Arabidopsis thaliana: one gene and its partners. The protein of the gene in region 1 interacts with the protein of each later gene in a biochemical or structural test. Each region holds a gene or a part of one and is shown in the gene's direction. Other genes may lie near its edges.

What was found.
Region 2: the proteins of BT1 (region 1) and BET10 form a complex in vitro, tested with the Arabidopsis thaliana proteins (one study listed by BioGRID).
Region 3: the proteins of BT1 (region 1) and CUL3 form a complex in vitro, tested with the Arabidopsis thaliana proteins (one study listed by BioGRID).

What each region holds. Positions count from the first base shown.
Region 1 is NC_003076.8:25,331,970-25,337,492, reverse strand, and holds BT1 (BTB and TAZ domain protein 1), read left to right. Parts: upstream 1-1,922; 5' UTR 1,923-2,093; coding exon 2,094-2,225; intron 2,226-2,319; coding exon 2,320-2,459; exon of another isoform or gene 2,460-2,788; coding exon of another isoform or gene 2,789-2,805; coding exon 2,806-3,109; intron 3,110-3,210; coding exon 3,211-3,545; coding exon of another isoform or gene 3,546-3,549; exon of another isoform or gene 3,550-3,821; coding exon 3,822-4,008; 3' UTR 4,009-4,321; downstream 4,322-5,523. UniProt on the Arabidopsis thaliana protein: May act as a substrate-specific adapter of an E3 ubiquitin-protein ligase complex (CUL3-RBX1-BTB) which mediates the ubiquitination and subsequent proteasomal degradation of target proteins. Also targeted for degradation by the 26S proteasome pathway.
Region 2 is NC_003074.8:274,142-280,807, reverse strand, and holds BET10 (bromodomain and extraterminal domain protein 10), read left to right. Parts: upstream 1-1,966; 5' UTR 1,967-2,252; intron 2,253-2,397; 5' UTR 2,398-2,421; coding exon 2,422-3,501; intron 3,502-3,578; coding exon 3,579-3,627; intron 3,628-3,713; coding exon 3,714-3,797; intron 3,798-4,222; coding exon 4,223-4,306; intron 4,307-4,389; coding exon 4,390-4,505; coding exon of another isoform or gene 4,506-4,562; exon of another isoform or gene 4,563-4,589; coding exon 4,590-4,656; intron 4,657-4,753; coding exon 4,754-4,875; intron 4,876-4,965; coding exon 4,966-5,226; 3' UTR 5,227-5,475; downstream 5,476-6,666. Other genes in the region: TPLATE (ARM repeat superfamily protein), read right to left, coding at 1-399, 504-1,637; AT3G01760 (Transmembrane amino acid transporter family protein), read right to left, coding at 5,538-5,660, 5,738-5,806, 5,907-5,998, 6,098-6,203, 6,285-6,666.
Region 3 is NC_003070.9:9,293,019-9,299,129, forward strand, and holds CUL3 (cullin 3), read left to right. Parts: upstream 1-2,546; 5' UTR 2,547-2,913; intron 2,914-3,034; 5' UTR 3,035-3,044; coding exon 3,045-3,205; intron 3,206-3,318; coding exon 3,319-5,356; 3' UTR 5,357-5,611; downstream 5,612-6,111. Other genes in the region: RNS3 (ribonuclease 3), read right to left, coding at 66-264, 376-531, 615-704; ORC6 (origin recognition complex protein 6), read left to right, coding at 5,804-5,923, 6,018-6,064. UniProt on the Arabidopsis thaliana protein: Component of the cullin-RING ubiquitin ligases (CRL), or CUL3-RBX1-BTB protein E3 ligase complexes which mediate the ubiquitination and subsequent proteasomal degradation of target proteins.

The sequences.
Region 1 (5,523 bases):
GTTTTCTTAAAGAGCCATTTGTGAATACTTAAAGTTATAACAACAACATGATTAATATATCGAATATACATATACTTGTAGAGTTAATGAAAGGAAAACACCCCCGACATCTTATAATAAAATGTTATAAAACTAAAAAGTGTACATAAACTACTACTCTGAAACCTTAACACATTAATTTTCCAATAGTTAGAAACTTAGAATAGTTATATGGCCTTATGAGATGTCTACACTAGTTGTTAAATGTCAACACGGATATTGAAATTTCTTGGAACTGATTCTGAATTCGTTTAAGTACTTCGTTTAAGAGCTTGATGCGCAACATAAAGCTCTTATTTGACACGTGTCATGATGTTAATGGTTAAGCTTGACTGCCATATTGGCCTAGACTACCAGATTTGCCACGTGTAATATATGCGGCGAAATTTATTTCATTCTTCGATAAGTTCTTCAACATCCTATGATGTTCAGGCATTCTTAAACCACAATTAACAAAGGCCAGTGGCAGAAATGGATAAATGAGAGAATGACAAGTGGATAGACAAGAGGGCTTGAGAGTGGATGAGGATCAACAAGCCACGTAGACGAGGAGGTGGGCTCTTGGGAAGAGGCAAGGGTCGGTTTACTTCAATAACCACCCTTTCTCAAACTTAGAATAATACTACTATCAGCACTTTTTCTACATCACAAAGGCAAATTTCTTGACCGGTTTTATCACTTTTCCCACGTAGGATCAATAAAAAAAGATAAACATTCGTGACTTCATGAATCATGGGGACAAACATCCTACATGGTACCAAAAGTAAAATACATTACTTGTTTTATTGTCATCCCAAACATTACAAAGGGCCAAAGGCAATATTATTTCTAGATACTTTCAGTGGAAAGTATTAATATATGTGTGTAATGTTGGGAATAAAATATAGTCGACATTGGTGTATCGAAAGGTCCATTTAAAAACATAATATATTGTAATGATCTATAGGTTAGATCCTGTTGGTATATCAGGTTGGGAATAAGAAAATACTTTTGTTATACAATGTATTATAGAATATGTTGTGTTAGGGGGCACTGCGGCTATTTGACAATGTTTGAGGCATATTAGTCCTAGGGAAGTTTATAATAAGCTGCATCACCAAATCCTTTATACATATCTAAGCGTAGTAAGATGAATGTAACTGATCATAGATTTTAACATATGATATGAGCTCTGAATGGAGAAAATATATTTATCTAATTAAATAAAATATGTCATTCGGGTCCAAAAATGATATGCAGACTTAAATTTTCAAACTATTCAAACTAGGAAAATAAAATTGAACTTATCTTCTGGAGATTTTTTTTTTTTTAAATTGTGCTTTGTATATTTATTAGTCCAATATAAACATAAATGAGATAAGTACACATAGGCTTTTTGTTGTTGGGTTTGTTCACATTTGTTAGTTCTTTTTTTCTGTCAAACAGTAGTATATTTTCAGTTTTTCTGCTTCAAATTTTGTAAGCAAGAAGTTCTGTTTCATTTTAGTTTATAAAAATTTATAACAACATGTAACTATATGCTTTTAAAGTAGACTCAAATACTGGGTGTTATCTGTGTATAGATTAAGATACAACTAATTGTATCTGTGTCTTAGTGTCTATATATACGATTATCTATTTATCAAAACGGAAAAACCATAGCCAATTACTTGCATTTGGGTTGGTGTTAAAGACAACCGCAAATTATTTATCAATGAATCATAACTTATCTCAGAGAAATACAGATCTGAGACCCCAAAACTCCTGAATATACAGTTCACTACTTTTATTTCCAATTATTCTGGTTACCAAAAAAACAGAGATTAATTGACATACACGCATCTACAAAGGCGCGTAGGGTAAAACAGAAACAAAAACAAGATATTTATCATAAAAAAATGCCACGTGTTATTAACAAGTAATCAAAAAGGACCAGACTTCGTTGAGCTGTGTCTATAAAATCCAGAGAAGCAATGCCCTCAAGCTTCTCCATCATCAAATTAAAACCCTCCAGCCTCCAACAACAAAATTTACCAACACTCTCTCTTTCTCTTTCTCTCTGAAAACTTAAAACGATGGCTATAACCGCCACTCAAAACGACGGCGTTTCACTAAACGCCAATAAGATTTCGTATGATCTTGTGGAAACTGATGTTGAGATCATCACCTCCGGTCGTCGTAGTATTCCGGCACACTCCGGCATCCTCGTAAGTTTCTTTTCTTCTTACTTTCTTTGTATGATCGAATATTTTTTTATTTTGGTGCTTATCTTTTTTGTTTGTTTAAAATTGTTAAATGCAGGCTTCGGTCTCACCGGTACTGACGAACATCATCGAGAAGCCGAGGAAGATTCACGGCGGATCATCGAAGAAAGTTATTAAGATTCTCGGTGTTCCATGCGACGCCGTTTCAGTCTTCGTCAGATTCCTCTATTCTCCGAGGTTCGTCTTTCTCTCTTTTTCATATCTTCTTGATCGTCAGATTTTTTTTTTTAATCCGTAGATTTATTACTTCAAAAATACAAATCATACTAAAAAGAATGCTTGATTAAATACATCATCTTAAAGATCTTTACCAAACTCGACTTTTCCAACGTTTTAATCATACATTAAAATCACTACAACCAGATTGCGATTGATTTAGACTTGTTTCATATTCAAAAACGTGTGAAACACAACACAAGGAACACGAAACTAGTACCAACATCAAATTTGAATAAATCAACGGCAAATTTTACCCTTAGTATGCAAAATGACTAGAATACCCCTATATGTATCTTTTGTTTAGTGTCACGGAGAATGAGATGGAAAAATACGGAATCCATCTACTGGCTTTATCACACGTGTATATGGTGACTCAGTTAAAGCAACGGTGCACTAAAGGCGTCGGTGAGAGAGTAACCGCCGAAAACGTTGTCGATATTCTCCAGCTGGCTCGTCTCTGCGACGCACCTGACCTCTGTCTCAAGTGTATGCGATTCATTCACTACAAGTTCAAGACCGTTGAACAGACAGAAGGATGGAAGTTTCTTCAAGAACACGATCCTTTTCTTGAACTTGACATTCTCCAATTCATCGACGATGCAGAATCGGTAATTAACTCAAACCACACTTTTTTGTTTTCTTTTTTTTTGGTTCTTCAAGAAAACTCTGTTTTATTGAATTAGGTTTCTTTTGGGTCAATTTCTTGCAGAGGAAGAAAAGAAGAAGGAGACACAGACGAGAACAGAATCTGTATTTGCAGCTGAGTGAAGCCATGGAATGTATAGAACACATATGCACCGAAGGTTGCACACTGGTCGGACCATCGTCTAACTTAGACAACAAGTCAACATGTCAAGCAAAACCCGGTCCATGCAGTGCGTTTTCGACTTGTTACGGACTTCAACTTCTTATACGTCACTTTGCAGTATGCAAGAAAAGAGTCGATGGCAAAGGTTGTGTCCGATGCAAGAGAATGATTCAACTCCTTAGACTCCATTCTTCGATTTGTGACCAATCTGAATCTTGCCGTGTCCCTCTTTGCAGGTAAAAATCCGACATTTTAGAATAATCAAAACCACATTTTAAATGTTTCTAATGATAAAAGTTTTTCACTTTTCGATAGTAGATCTCATTTGATTTTTTTTTAACTTTCGGCGCCAATAATAATTATCTTTTTGTGGTGGTAGCCTACTTATTAGATGATGAGTCGTGATCGGACGGCTGGAAATATTTTGTTTGGTAGAATTATTAAAAGATATTTTAAGAAATGAGAATCTGATCTCGTTGTCAACTTTTTATTTGTTTTGGTGATTGGAGTAGGCAATATAAGAATAGAGGTGAAAAGGACAAGAAAATGGTTGAGGACACGAAGTGGAAGGTTCTGGTGAGAAGAGTAGCGTCTGCTAAAGCCATGTCTTCGTTGTCTCAATCAAAGAAGAAAAAAAGTGAAGTGTTATTTAAAGAAGAAGCAGAAGATTTGATCAGAATCCGGAACAAGTTAATGTGAATATACAATATATGTGTTTTTATTAGATTATATAGTGAGCGATTGTTAGAAGCCATTAATTACTTGAGTCGGAAGGTTTATTTGTTTGTTATTTGTCTCTCGGACTGGTTGATTGGGTTAAACTTGTCAATGAGTAACCCTTTGAATCTGTCGTTTTGTTTGGTCGGTCGAATTATATAGAAATGTATTATTGGTTATAAAATGGTATTAGGGTTTTTGGAGACTTTGTGGCAAAAAGTATACAGATTGATCCGGTTTAAACTAGCTAACGTCAAACGCAAAAGGATTACTGAATCTAAAGTAATGTGACAAGATGGAAACAAAATAATTATTCTCTTTGTAGTTGATTGGTCATGCCAAATTATATGACTAGACCTGGTTGCATATGAATCACAAAAAATCTAAATGAGATTCAAGTTGGATCGGTCTAATCAATCACAATAGCTTCAACCATGCATGATACAAAGGAGAATTTTGATGGAAATAATAGAAATTCAATATTGGAGATCAAAATTGACCAACCGGTCTTAGTCACTGGTATAGTGGAAGGTTGATCATGATTGAGGATTCAAAAGCAAACAAGGCAAATTATTAGAAAAAAACATGTGCTTATAATTAGTTAAAACAGAGATATTTTTATTAAATTCTTCATTCATACTTGGGTTCGACTGGAAAAAGGAAAGACGCGTGGGGGACAGATGAACCACGCAATGTGGTTTCGTGTCGGATGTCAATTACTCTTACATTTCAGTTCATACTTCTTAACTACCAGATGAATGCACTTAATAAAAAAAAAATCAAATACAAGAATTGTTCTTTTGAAATGGAAATGAATATTTTCATGTTATAACACGAGTTTTGACATAAAAAGGTTAAACAACTCGAGCAAGTTCATTCACTAAAGTTTCAACATGAAACTTATTCTAAATTGTTATTTTTACATATTTTGAAGAAAAAAAACAAAAAAGAAGATGACAATATCAACCCGTAAAGCTTTCTGAGTAGTGGAGCAATGCAGTCACCGATGTTTTAATACTAACGACAACAATGATTCTTATCATGACGATAGAGGTGACTAAAGATTCGACCACGTATGAATTAAAGAAAAGAATGTTTACATACGAACGACAAAAAAGATTCTTATCAGGAGTAATGACACAGAATAAGTGAGTGGTGACTAAAGATTTAACCAAAGACTTGGATGAGCTGGAGTAAGCAAAGACTTGGAAGCATCCTGCAGGTTCCGTGGAGGTAAAGAGTCATGGGAGTGATACGATTAATTATGCATTGTTTGATATTTTGACTTGTGAGCGACGATGTGTTCCTGTGATTGAGAATTATATGACCTAGAGATGTTCTAGAGGCTCTCTTGTGTAAACAGTGTATCGGTTCTTGTGGTTAAGGAATGAAAGAGATTCATAGCTCTAACTTTAACATTCAGTTTTAGGTGTTAGCACTGAATAAGATATTTATCTCTGATCTTCTGACGTTTCTCGACATTTTGTTGTATTATTA
Region 2 (6,666 bases), on another chromosome or scaffold:
ACAAACTTCCACAACCTCAAGGGCTGGTTCTGTCCAGTTCAGAGCACCATAACCAGTACCATATGCTAACGCACCAATCACTCTGCTCTCCATACCCGAGTTTTTTTGTTCAGGCAAAGGTAGAGACAACTGGAAGCAGCTTTCCACAAGCATTGCCACCAGCTCTTCCCGAAATAAGCTCTTACTGGTAACACTATTGAGATCATCTTTAATCCTTGCATCTTCAAAGAGAGAAATAATATCTGTCCCAGGCAGAGGCTTCTGACCTCTTCGGGCACTTTCTCTGGCAAAAAGGTGAACACAGAGAGCTGTCCGACAGATACAGGCTAATGCGTGCATCCTGTCCGATTCTGCTCTCAAGTTTCTCACCATAAGCAGCAGTCTTCTAAACAACGAAACCTTCGTAACAAATTCCAAAAAGAATGATTCAGAAATCATAGGCCACAGCTTCAAGACAAAGGTACACAACTAACCGAGCTTAAATGAAGTAAAAAACGACATACCTGCATATGCAGATCAAGCAAGTGCAGGTTCGTAACAACGGCCCTGACTATACTCTCTCTAGCAGAGGAAAATTCTTGGCGGTCCCAGAGTGTTAAAATTGCAATAATGGACTGTGAAGCCCACTCTGGCTTGCCTCCGGCAACATCTGCCAGGTAGAGCATGTTAATTCCCACTTCAAAAATCAAAGCTGGATCCAAAGAGGAAGCCAAGAATGGCGCCAAATGGGTAACCAAATCTGAGACGCCAACCAGCTTCTCGGCGTTGGAGTCCACAACGGTGGCATTAGCTGCAGCAGCAGCAGAGGAAGCCTTGGAAAGCTGTCTAATCACTTCGACACTACCGGAAGCAACAGCTTTGACAGCAAAGACAAGAGGGAAAACAGTGGCTCTGAAGGTTTCGACAGGAAGGACTAAAGACCTAGCCATCAAAGCGCTCCTCTTTCTCCATACAATGTCAACCATGGAAGAGACCCACTTGGACCTGATGGCGAGGGAGTTCTCGCTGTCAACGAGCTTATCGCCAGCAAGACGGCTCATCCGCTTGGAGTCGAACTCCTGGAAGAGTCTGCCGACGGACTCAAAGGCAACCTTGGAGACGGCGTCGGATTTGTCGAGCATGTTCTGGCCGATCCGAGCCCACCAGTTGGAGACCTTGTCGAGGAGACCCACATTGTTCTCGCACAAAGTAACGAGATCATCACGCGCGAGGATGCAGCCAAGTGTCTCGGTGATGGAAAAACGAAGGTTGTCAGATGGAGAATCGAAGCAGGAAGCAATCTCAGAGCTGCAATCAGAGATGAGTTTAGGAAGCGAGAAGGCAGGGAGAGCCGCAAGGATGGAGACGGCAGCGGCGGTAACATCCGGGTCCGGAAAATGAAGATCCGTTTTGACACCTGAGCAAACGGTGTCCCAAAGATCCGGAGTGAGGCGGGTAGATCGGATGAGATCGAATGCCAGCTTCTTACAAACAGCTGAAGCCGGAGAAGCAACAATCTCCTCCACAGCAGACTTAGCGATCACAGAGATATCTCTTCCGGCGGCGGATTGCTGCAGCGCCTGAAGAAGCGCCGATGACTGGCGAAGCGCGTCATTTGAACGGAGGTCCGCCTGGATCTGAGCAAAAAGAATGTCCATAACCGGATCGAATTAACTGAAATTCGAGATCCAAAATCTGAGCTAACTAGCTTCGCTGTCAATCTGTGTACGTATGCGACATGGAACTGGAAGAAGAAGGATGTGTAAATCAAACCATCAATTGAAGAAGAAGGAGAAGAAATTGTTTTCGAAGGAAAAAAGCGCGTGCCGTTCCTGCGATTCGAGCTTTCACAGCGTGCCGTGTTGAGTCATCCGTAGACCCAATAAAGGCACATTAAAAAGTTCATTGGGCTTTACATTATAAGCCCAGGATATTATTTTTATGCACCGAAGTATTTGCATTCGATTTTAATTCGAGGGATCAGATCCGACGGTCCAGATTGAGTCCTGCCCAGTAGCAAAACGGCGTTAGACGCAGCATTCGTTAGGGACGGGACACTAGAGAAGGGAGGGCAGAGAGCGATTTTGTTCTCTCTCTACTTCTCGGTCGTCTTCTTCGTCTCCACTCTAGGGTTTTACTCTATCTTCTTCTTCATCATCATCTTCTACACCAATCTCTAGCGTTAATCTGTTTCTGCTGGAGAAGATTTACGCTTGTTCCTCGGTTCTCTTACTTCTGCTCCGGTTCGATCGCTTGCTAAGTGTTTCGAGTTGGTTAGTTCCGAATTTCCTTTTTTATGCATATTGAGTGTTCACTGCTCTCCTCCAGCAATACTATAGGGCTCTAAGAATTGAATTGCTTTCAGGTTTTCATAGTTAGGGTTTCTCAAAACTGACTTAAATATTTTGATTTGTGCAGGTTCGCACTTCGGTGGGCGATATCATGACTGTGAGGAACGGTGGTTTCCCAGGAGATTATAATCGTAACAGTTTTGACTCTCCCGGCGGCTGTGATGATAGCCCCAATGCTTCCAAGGATGATGAAACTTTTGGTGTCCCGAGAATAGTTTTACCCTTGTCTGACTTGTCATCATCAGAAAGGAGAAAGTGGATTCATACGCTTCGTCAGGAGCTGGAACAACTACGGTCCTTTCAGAAGAGTGTTGGGGACCTTCTTCCTATATCTAAGATTGTTACTAGTACACCTGCAAGTAATGTGTCTCGCCCCAAGAGTTTTGGAATGTCACGATGCTCTACTGGCCCTGGAAAAAGGGTGCTCCCCTTCACAGCAACCAAACCAGAGCCAGTCACCACTTCCACTATGCTTCGGATGAAGCAATGTGAGAGCCTCCTTAAACGATTGATGTCGCAGCAGCATTGTTGGCTCTTTAATACCCCTGTGGACGTCGTCAAGCTCAACATTCCTGATTATTTCACCATTATCAAACATCCTATGGATTTAGGAACTGTTAAAAGCAAGTTAACTTCCGGCACGTATTCAAGCCCTTCAGAGTTTTCTGCTGATGTCCGTCTTACTTTCCGCAATGCTATGACTTATAACCCGTCAGATAATAATGTGTATCGCTTCGCTGATACTCTCAGCAAGTTTTTTGAAGTGAGATGGAAAACTATCGAGAAGAAGTCATCCGGAACCAAATCTGAACCAAGTAACTTGGCTACTCTTGCTCACAAAGATATTGCGATACCTGAGCCTGTGGCTAAGAAGAGAAAGATGAATGCTGTGAAACGTAACAGCCTCTTAGAGCCTGCTAAGCGGGTTATGACAGATGAGGATAGAGTAAAGCTTGGCAGAGATTTGGGGTCCTTGACAGAATTCCCTGTACAGATAATAAATTTCCTGAGAGATCACAGCTCCAAGGAAGAGAGATCTGGAGATGATGAGATAGAGATTGACATCAATGATCTCAGTCATGATGCCTTGTTCCAGTTGCGGGATCTCTTTGATGAGTTTCTGCGAGAAAATCAAAAGAAAGATTCAAACGGTGAACCCTGTGTGTTAGAGGTAATCACCTTTCTATATCTCATTCTTGATCCATTTGTTAACATGACTGATAAACAGCGAAAACTTTCTTGATGTAGCTTTTACATGGGTCAGGGCCAGGAAATTCATTGACGCAACACTGTGATGGTTAGCATACACTGGTTTTGTTGTTTGAGCTAATTCGCATGTCCTACTCTATGATTAAGCTGTCATTTCCTCCTCGTTACTTGCAGGGAGTGAATTGGAGGACGAGGATGTTGACATTGGTAATTATGAGCACCCTATATCTCACATCTCAACTGTCAGAACAGAAAAAGGTATGGCGTTAGAGAACTACAGTGGTTTGTTTAATCTTGCTACATTGTATTTGTCTTTTTCTCTATGGAGCTTTTGCAGACGTTTGATGTTTGCAATTCTTATATGTACTTAACCCTCGGAACCATTTTACTTCCCTCTTGTCAGAAGTGGCCGTCCATCTAGAATACTCAATGTTACTTCTGTAGTTTTTTTGGAGTGAAACTTACTGACCTTACTGATAGCAACTCATATTACACACCTAGTATGATAGTGATAGACCTGTTACATTTTCTGCTTGTTTTACTCCCAGGTCGCTGTTTGCTATTTTCTATAGTGATCATATTATCTCTAATCAGTGATTACTCCTCTTTTGGTGCAAAAGATGTTAAGTTTTGTTGATATTAATTAATAAACCTTGGTTTTCTTATTCCCTTTCTAAAAGCAGATTCCGTCGGTGGATTGAATCAGATGGAAGATGCATCCAGAGGGAAGCTAAGTCTTATTGAGGGGGCAGATGGTCATCAAGATGGTAAGCTCAGAAGTGTAGCAGAAAAATATCTGTGCTCTAATATCTGAGGGTGGCATCTCACTCTTGACCCATTAATAATTTAGGAAATAGTGCTCCAAAAGAGAAGGAACTACCTCCAGAAAAGCGTTACAGGGCTGCTCTATTGAAAAATCGATTTGCGGATATAATCTTGAAGGCTCAAGAGATAACTCTTAATCAGGTTAGCTGTGTTTGTGGAGGTGTGAGCTGTTATATCTGGTTAGCCCTCCCTCTTTGACTTTCAAAATTATATTTGTGAGATCAGAATGAGAAACGAGACCCAGAGACACTGCAACGTGAGAAGGAAGAACTGGAATTGCAAAAGAAGAAAGGTATTCTTGATTTGCTAGTTTCGATTTTTTGATTGATGATATATACCAAGTAGTATATACGTACATAAACTTGTCCTCTTATTGTTTTGTGCACCAGAAAAAGCACGGTTACAAGCAGAAGCCAAGGAAGCTGAAGAAGCTCGTAGAAAAGCTGAGGCACAAGAGGCTAAGAGGAAACTGGAACTTGAAAGAGAAGCAGCCCGGCAGGCATTGCTTGAGGTAAATCAAAATTGCTGCCTTGTACCAGTTTGGTTTTATAAACTGCAATACATGTATATTGATCATTGCCATGACTGAATGGTACACCAGATGGAGAAGTCGGTTGAAATAAATGAGAACACAAGGTTTCTCAAGGACCTAGAACTGCTCAAAACGGTTAACACGGACCAGTTACGAAATCTAAGAGATGTTGGCTCTGAGTCTGATGGGTTGGCTGTATTTGGGTTTGGAGGAAGTAATCCTCTAGAGCAGCTGGGGCTATTTATGAAACATGAGGAGGATGAAGATGAATCCGACATGCTTGCGTTTCCAGATCCCGGCAATGAAGTAGAAGAGGGTGAAATCGACTGAGATTCATGAGTGTTGTGTCTTGGATAACAGCAGTCAAGTGTACATGAGTTGTTGTAAAAAATGATAGTTAGATTGATATTTAACCAATGCGATGGCATTTTATCCGAGTAAACAATCAATAACACTTTGTGTAGTGAGTAAAATTTTGGTTAATTCAATAAACCAATGACCGACAGCACCGAGAGAGAGAGGGAGCATGTCTCAGAGTTAATTCTATAGATTTACACTCGAGTTTGGTAATAGAGCCTCTAGACTCTAGTACCAGCGAAATTGTTGCGTCCAACCAATTTATGTTACCTACAAGGCAATCGTCAGTGTTTAGGTAAGTTGCATCTTGAATTAGGTAGAGTGCCCTTTTGAATATTATAGATTAGTTTGGCCAGTCCCCCAATAGGTGCTATGATCATCAGCACAAGCCCAAAAATGATGCAAAACTGCTCCAAAAAAAAAGATTTAACTTAGCTGTAAGTGTCATATTTAGCTTTTGATCTGAGGACTACAAACATCTTACCCAGTTCATACACCATGAGAGACTAAATCTCTTTGGTTTCTTTAGGATCAGCCACATGATGCATGGGATCTGAAAGATAACATATCATTATGTTTGTTAGAGTTATTAACATGTTGATTGAAGTTTGATGATATCAAGAGCAGTTTAAGAGTAGAGTATTCGCGCTTACAAAGTATGTGGTCGGGGCGAACACAAATCCCCCAAAAAATGACAGCAATGCGCTGTAATACGGTAAACCGACCGCTATTCCCATCGTGGCGGCTGCGATATAGAGGTAAGTTAATCAATCATCAAAATGCTACTCCTCTGAAAAGAATGTGAATTTAGTTTCTTTGGTTTGCAAAAATCACAGAGACTTACCCACAAAAGTCCATCGGATGGTAAACCGTAGAACTCTTGTTGGACTGAAGTGCCATATCCTTATCATTACAGATTCGATCATGTCAAACACGGGCATCGCATACACCTAGGAGGACAAAGCAGATCAGTTAAGGCGGGGAACTACAAGTTTTTTTTTGCTTCTAATGAGAGGCGTTTTCTGGTGTACCTGGTAGCTTCCCAAGAGATGTATGACCACAAACATGTTGGCCACAATGACAAGTGCCGTTGGTTTTGTTAGTGATTCGAGGATGCTCTCTTCAACACTGTTTCCAAAGGTCTTGAAACCTACAAGTGCCACAGGGAAGTAGCAGAAAGCTACAATGATATAGGCTACAACCGCTCCCTTCCACATGGGTCGTTTTGATGGGTTCTCTGGTGTTGATGGGATCGTTGCTTGAATTTCCAAAACAACGTTATGACCTGCGTACGCAAAAGCCATTTCACCCAGTGCACTTAAGAAGGCTAATGGCACTGAGGTTGTTCTTTTTCTATAGCCGTACTCTACACTCCCGGTGGTGGCACCCTTCCTCAGCGAGGCTACCCAAGCA
Region 3 (6,111 bases), on another chromosome or scaffold:
ACATCCACTTATACATAACTAACAATGGAGATCAAAATGAAGGGCAAAACAAGTGAATATTGTACCAGCATTGGTAAGGGCATGAAGGAGATTAGCTTTCTGTTTGAGCTTGAGACCAGCTTCGAAGTAATCGTGTTGGTCAAGCTCGGACTCAGCGCACGTACCGTGTTTCTCCCACTCATGTGTCCAAAACTTCATACCATCATTGCTCGGACACGACAACGTTGGCCATTCTCTTTGTAAATCGCTCATCAGATCAGAAACCTTTATAAAAGTTTTCGATTCTCATTAGTTATTTACGATTCTTTTCTTGTGGTTAATAATTTCCGAAGTCCCAAAATACAAAAACTATTGTGTTATAAGTTAAAAACAAACCCGTAAATCATCAAATCGACTGTCAGGATTACAATTTTGCGGCCATCCACCGGTTTTGTAGTTAGGCCAAAGACCGTGAATTCCAAAATCTGCAGCTGGTTTACCGGTTTGTGGATAGCAACAACTATGTCTTGAATCACAATACGCTCCAGGCCACTGCATTGCAACGCACATACACAAACATAAAATTTCAAAGTACAATGATAATTCTTGTAGAGACATTTATCGACTTTAATTACCTGTAAAACGAAGTAGAAGAAATCGAAATCTTGGGCGAAACTTTGTACGTAGAGTTGTTGTAACGCTAGAATAAAAATGAAGAATTTCATTTCCTCAAGATATCAAATAATTTGTGGGAATCAAATTTGTCGAAAACCAATGAAGGATGGATGATAGATAAATAGTTTAGAATATGTTTATATAAGTCATATAACGTGAAGTGTGATATTTTGTTTTGGGTAGAGAGACGTGACGTGTGATTGGTATATGTTTGCTTAATTGTGTTAGGTTAGTATTTCGTGCAAGCATTTTATTTTCAGCTCCAATGCTTTAAAAAGTAATAACGTAAGGCAAACTTTTCATCATGCTTCAACTACAAAATTATGAGTATTTTGTAGCTCCAATTAACGTAACGTAAGGCAAACTTTCCAGCTCCAATGTTTTAGAGCTAGCCGAATATTATGTGTCTCAGTATTTATAAAATTATGAGTATTCGATTGGAAAAATAAATAAAGAAACTCTTATAGTATTCACTTAAAGACCTTTGTTTCTTAAATTTTAAATATTTAAATCCACTTAAAGATCCTTGTTTCTCATAAAGTGTTAAAGACCCATAAAGGCATAAATCAAACCATTGTCCCGTCTCGGAAACGTACGTCAAGTTTCTTGATGAGGCGCATGTTGGCTACTTGGTTCTACTTCTACAGTTACAGACTCCAGTGTGTACCGTATTCTATCAAGTTCTGCATTTATGCAAGAACCTTAGGTATCACAAATATTTGGGGGCAATAAAATTATAAAAATTCCTTACAGTGCAGCGATTTATGTCACATTTTCAGCCAAGAGGTTGTGTGTTCGAGTTCCCTCAACTACTTCTGCTAATTTTTTTATTAAAAAAAAAAAACTTTAGACCGCCCATAACTTTGAGCCGGCAATGATCCTACCTCACAATCATACTAAAATCTACCAATGATCCTTACCATGTTTTGGCGCTTGAGGTGGATACGAATAATCCACTAGTTGGGTTAACCTTATAGGGAAGGTGAAGATTGTTATAAAGTTTGTAGATTATACAATGAAAAGTAAGAAGATAGGTCCAAGTCAAAGTTTGTATGATTAAAACAAGAAAGATGGTATATACCATGCGTTGCTTTCCAGAAAATGGCTTCAAGAAAGCAAAGACAAAGAATATCATCATGAGCTTGACCAGGGATAAGGAAGAAGATCCATTGACGTGTTTACAACGACAAAAACTAGTTAGAAGTTAGAACATAGTGTCGCTGAAGTTGTGGAGGAAATGCATTTTTTAAACAGATGCATAGAGACGATTGAATATGGCATCGAAACAGTGAATGCAAGCAACAAAGGTTGGTAAACTGGTGAAGAGAAAGGTAACAGACGATATAACTTTTTTTGTGAATGAATTAAAAGGGATTTTTTTTTTTCGTCAAGAAGCTGAAATTTCATTAAACCGAAACTTAAACCGATACATAAGTTGGTACAATAAGTGCATAATTTAATGCAGATTTTGCATATGCATATGCACAACCGTTTTTTTCTCTAAAAATGAAGTGAAAAGAAATTTGATCGAAATTAAACGAAAGAGCAAGAACATCTTGGAAAATCACGTAGAGATTCTTTGGGAAGGATTCTGAGTTGATAGCTTTGATCAGCGTTTGCAAATCTGAAGCGAAGGTGACTTCCTAAAACCGAGTTCTAAGGCATTTTGTTGGGCTAGATGAAGCGCCATGGCTTCTGCCAAAAGAGGAGAAGCAACATTCGCCACTCTAAGGGATTCAAAGCCTCTTTATGAAATAGAAGTTGACATATTTTTAGTTCAATTAAATGAAATGACCGACGTGCCAATTTGTCATATCCACATAAGTATAAAAGCTAACTAAACCTCCAATGTCAAAAAAAAAAAAATAACTGGCTTCGACTAGGGATCGATCCTTGGACTTCGATATTTCACAATTCTTTGTAACCAATATACCAAAGGACGAGAATGTGACAACCGCGACTTTAATTTAATAAATACGTTATAGTTTGGAAACCACCAGCAGAGACGGAGAGTCCACTTTTATTTCTTCCGCTCCGTTTGGTCTGTCCTCTTCTTCTTCTCCACCTTCGAAATCTATCTTCTCCGATACCTCTCTATCTATATCTCTTCGACGCTGCAAATTAGCCTTAAGCTTCTTTCTCCTTTAAACTTTTCGATTATTATTCCATTTCCTATCTTTTTGTTTCCCCCAAATCTTTTCACGGAAGCAAAGAATACAATTCCAAACCCTAATCCCGATCATCCGTCTTTCCTCTCCGGTCAGTCTTCCGATTTCCTCGATCCACCTGATTTTCATTATGATTATACATATATACTTTCTTCTCGCTCGTCAATTTTTTCGTTGCTGTGTGAATTTAGATTGATTTGTTTTGGATTCAGGTTTCAAAATATGAGTAATCAGAAGAAGAGGAATTTTCAGATAGAGGCGTTTAAGCATCGAGTCGTTGTGGATCCCAAATACGCTGATAAAACTTGGCAGATTCTTGAGCGTGCGATCCATCAGATTTACAATCAAGATGCTAGCGGTCTCAGTTTCGAAGAACTTTACAGGTCAATTTCTTTCATTCTCTTGCCTTTCTTTGAATCCTGTAGAAACTGGTAATGTTTCTGGAACTTAGCTAGGTTTCGTGTTAATGGAATTATTTGTGTATATTGTGGCTCAGAAATGCGTACAACATGGTCCTGCACAAGTTTGGTGAGAAGCTATATACTGGGTTTATTGCTACTATGACTTCTCATCTCAAAGAAAAATCCAAGCTTATCGAGGCAGCTCAGGGAGGGTCGTTTCTAGAAGAGCTTAATAAGAAATGGAATGAGCACAACAAAGCGTTAGAGATGATTCGAGACATTCTCATGTATATGGATAGGACTTATATTGAGAGCACCAAAAAGACTCATGTTCATCCGATGGGGCTTAACTTGTGGAGGGATAATGTTGTGCATTTCACTAAGATACATACAAGGCTTCTAAACACTCTTCTTGATCTAGTGCAGAAGGAACGGATAGGTGAAGTTATTGATAGGGGGTTGATGAGGAATGTCATTAAGATGTTTATGGATTTGGGTGAATCTGTGTATCAGGAGGATTTTGAGAAGCCGTTTTTGGATGCGTCTTCTGAGTTTTATAAGGTTGAGTCTCAGGAGTTTATTGAATCTTGTGATTGTGGGGACTATCTGAAGAAATCAGAGAAACGCCTTACTGAAGAGATAGAGAGGGTAGCGCACTACTTAGATGCCAAGAGCGAAGAGAAGATTACTAGTGTGGTTGAGAAAGAGATGATTGCCAACCACATGCAGAGACTGGTTCACATGGAGAACTCAGGTCTGGTTAATATGCTTCTGAATGACAAGTATGAGGATTTGGGTAGAATGTACAACTTGTTTCGCAGGGTTACTAATGGTCTTGTTACTGTCAGAGACGTTATGACTTCGCATCTTAGGGAGATGGGAAAACAACTGGTTACTGATCCGGAAAAGTCAAAGGATCCGGTGGAATTTGTACAACGTCTATTGGATGAGCGGGATAAATATGACAAAATCATCAACACCGCATTTGGCAATGATAAAACCTTTCAGAATGCCCTGAATTCTTCATTCGAGTATTTCATCAACTTGAATGCTCGTTCTCCTGAGTTTATCTCCCTGTTTGTTGATGACAAGCTACGGAAAGGACTTAAGGGTATCACCGATGTGGATGTTGAGGTTATCCTTGATAAAGTGATGATGCTGTTCCGTTATTTACAAGAGAAAGATGTCTTTGAGAAGTACTACAAGCAGCATTTGGCTAAAAGGCTTCTCTCAGGCAAAACTGTGTCAGATGACGCAGAAAGGAGTTTAATAGTGAAACTAAAGACAGAATGTGGCTATCAGTTCACTTCAAAATTGGAAGGCATGTTCACTGACATGAAGACTTCAGAGGACACAATGCGTGGGTTTTATGGCAGTCACCCCGAGCTTTCAGAAGGACCTACACTTATTGTTCAGGTACTTACAACTGGTTCTTGGCCAACACAGCCTGCAGTACCTTGTAATCTCCCAGCTGAAGTTTCAGTTCTCTGTGAGAAGTTCCGTTCTTACTACCTTGGGACACATACCGGTAGAAGATTGTCCTGGCAAACAAACATGGGCACAGCAGATATCAAAGCCATCTTTGGAAAGGGTCAGAAACATGAACTGAACGTGTCGACTTTCCAGATGTGTGTTCTCATGTTGTTCAACAATTCTGATCGACTCAGCTACAAAGAGATCGAACAGGCTACAGAAATCCCGGCAGCAGATCTTAAACGCTGTTTGCAGTCGCTAGCTTGTGTAAAGGGCAAAAACGTGATAAAGAAAGAACCCATGAGCAAAGACATAGGAGAGGAGGATTTGTTCGTTGTGAACGACAAGTTCACTAGCAAGTTTTACAAAGTGAAGATCGGAACTGTGGTTGCCCAAAAGGAAACAGAACCGGAGAAGCAAGAGACGAGACAGAGAGTGGAGGAAGACAGAAAACCTCAGATTGAAGCAGCCATCGTAAGGATCATGAAGTCCAGGAAAATACTAGACCACAACAACATAATCGCCGAGGTGACGAAACAGTTGCAGCCACGGTTCCTAGCTAATCCCACGGAGATAAAGAAGAGAATCGAGTCGCTCATTGAACGAGATTTCTTGGAAAGGGATAGTACAGACCGGAAACTTTACCGCTATCTAGCCTAAATAAGTTGAATACCACAACCCAAAAAAAAAAGGCTTTACTCTGTTTCTTTCTTTGCTTTATTTCCTTATGTTTGATGTAAAATCTTTTGAACTGTACGGTAGTCGGTAAGAACGAACCAACACAGCGTCACTACCGGTTTAATCGAATATACATTTGTTTCCTTTTCTTTTGTCTTTCATCAGATACCGTATGTGATTTCAGCTTCTGGACACGTTGGGCCGGCTCGAGGCCTTTTAAGGCCCATTTTAAACGGTTAAGAGCCAAAAAAAACATTCGCGGCTAAAATTTCAACCAGGCGTAAAAAAATCCCGCCAAACGTTGGCAACGCTTTGTTTATAGCGTTTTCATAGCCTAATCGGTTCCATTGACATTTCTAGGGGAAAAAATCTCTCACAGTGTCTGACTTTGGTTCTTTGTCTTGTAACAATCGCCGGAAAATTAAGGATATGGATATCTCCGACATAGGTAGGAAACTTAGTCTCGATAACAACAAGCTTTTAATCAGAAAAGCTGCAGAGATCCGCCGTCTTTGCGATGCTCAGTTCGATTCATCCATCATCGGCGTTGTAAGATAAATCCGATTCTGAATCCCAAAGTTTCACATCGAGTACTTTGATTATAATTTTTCCTTATGTGTTGAGAATTTGATTTTTCTATCAGGGTGAGATCTGTAAAGCTGTGATTTGTCTAGAAATCGCCGCCACTAGGTAAATAATTATCGTAATTGATTTATAACGATTTCAATATCCATAGT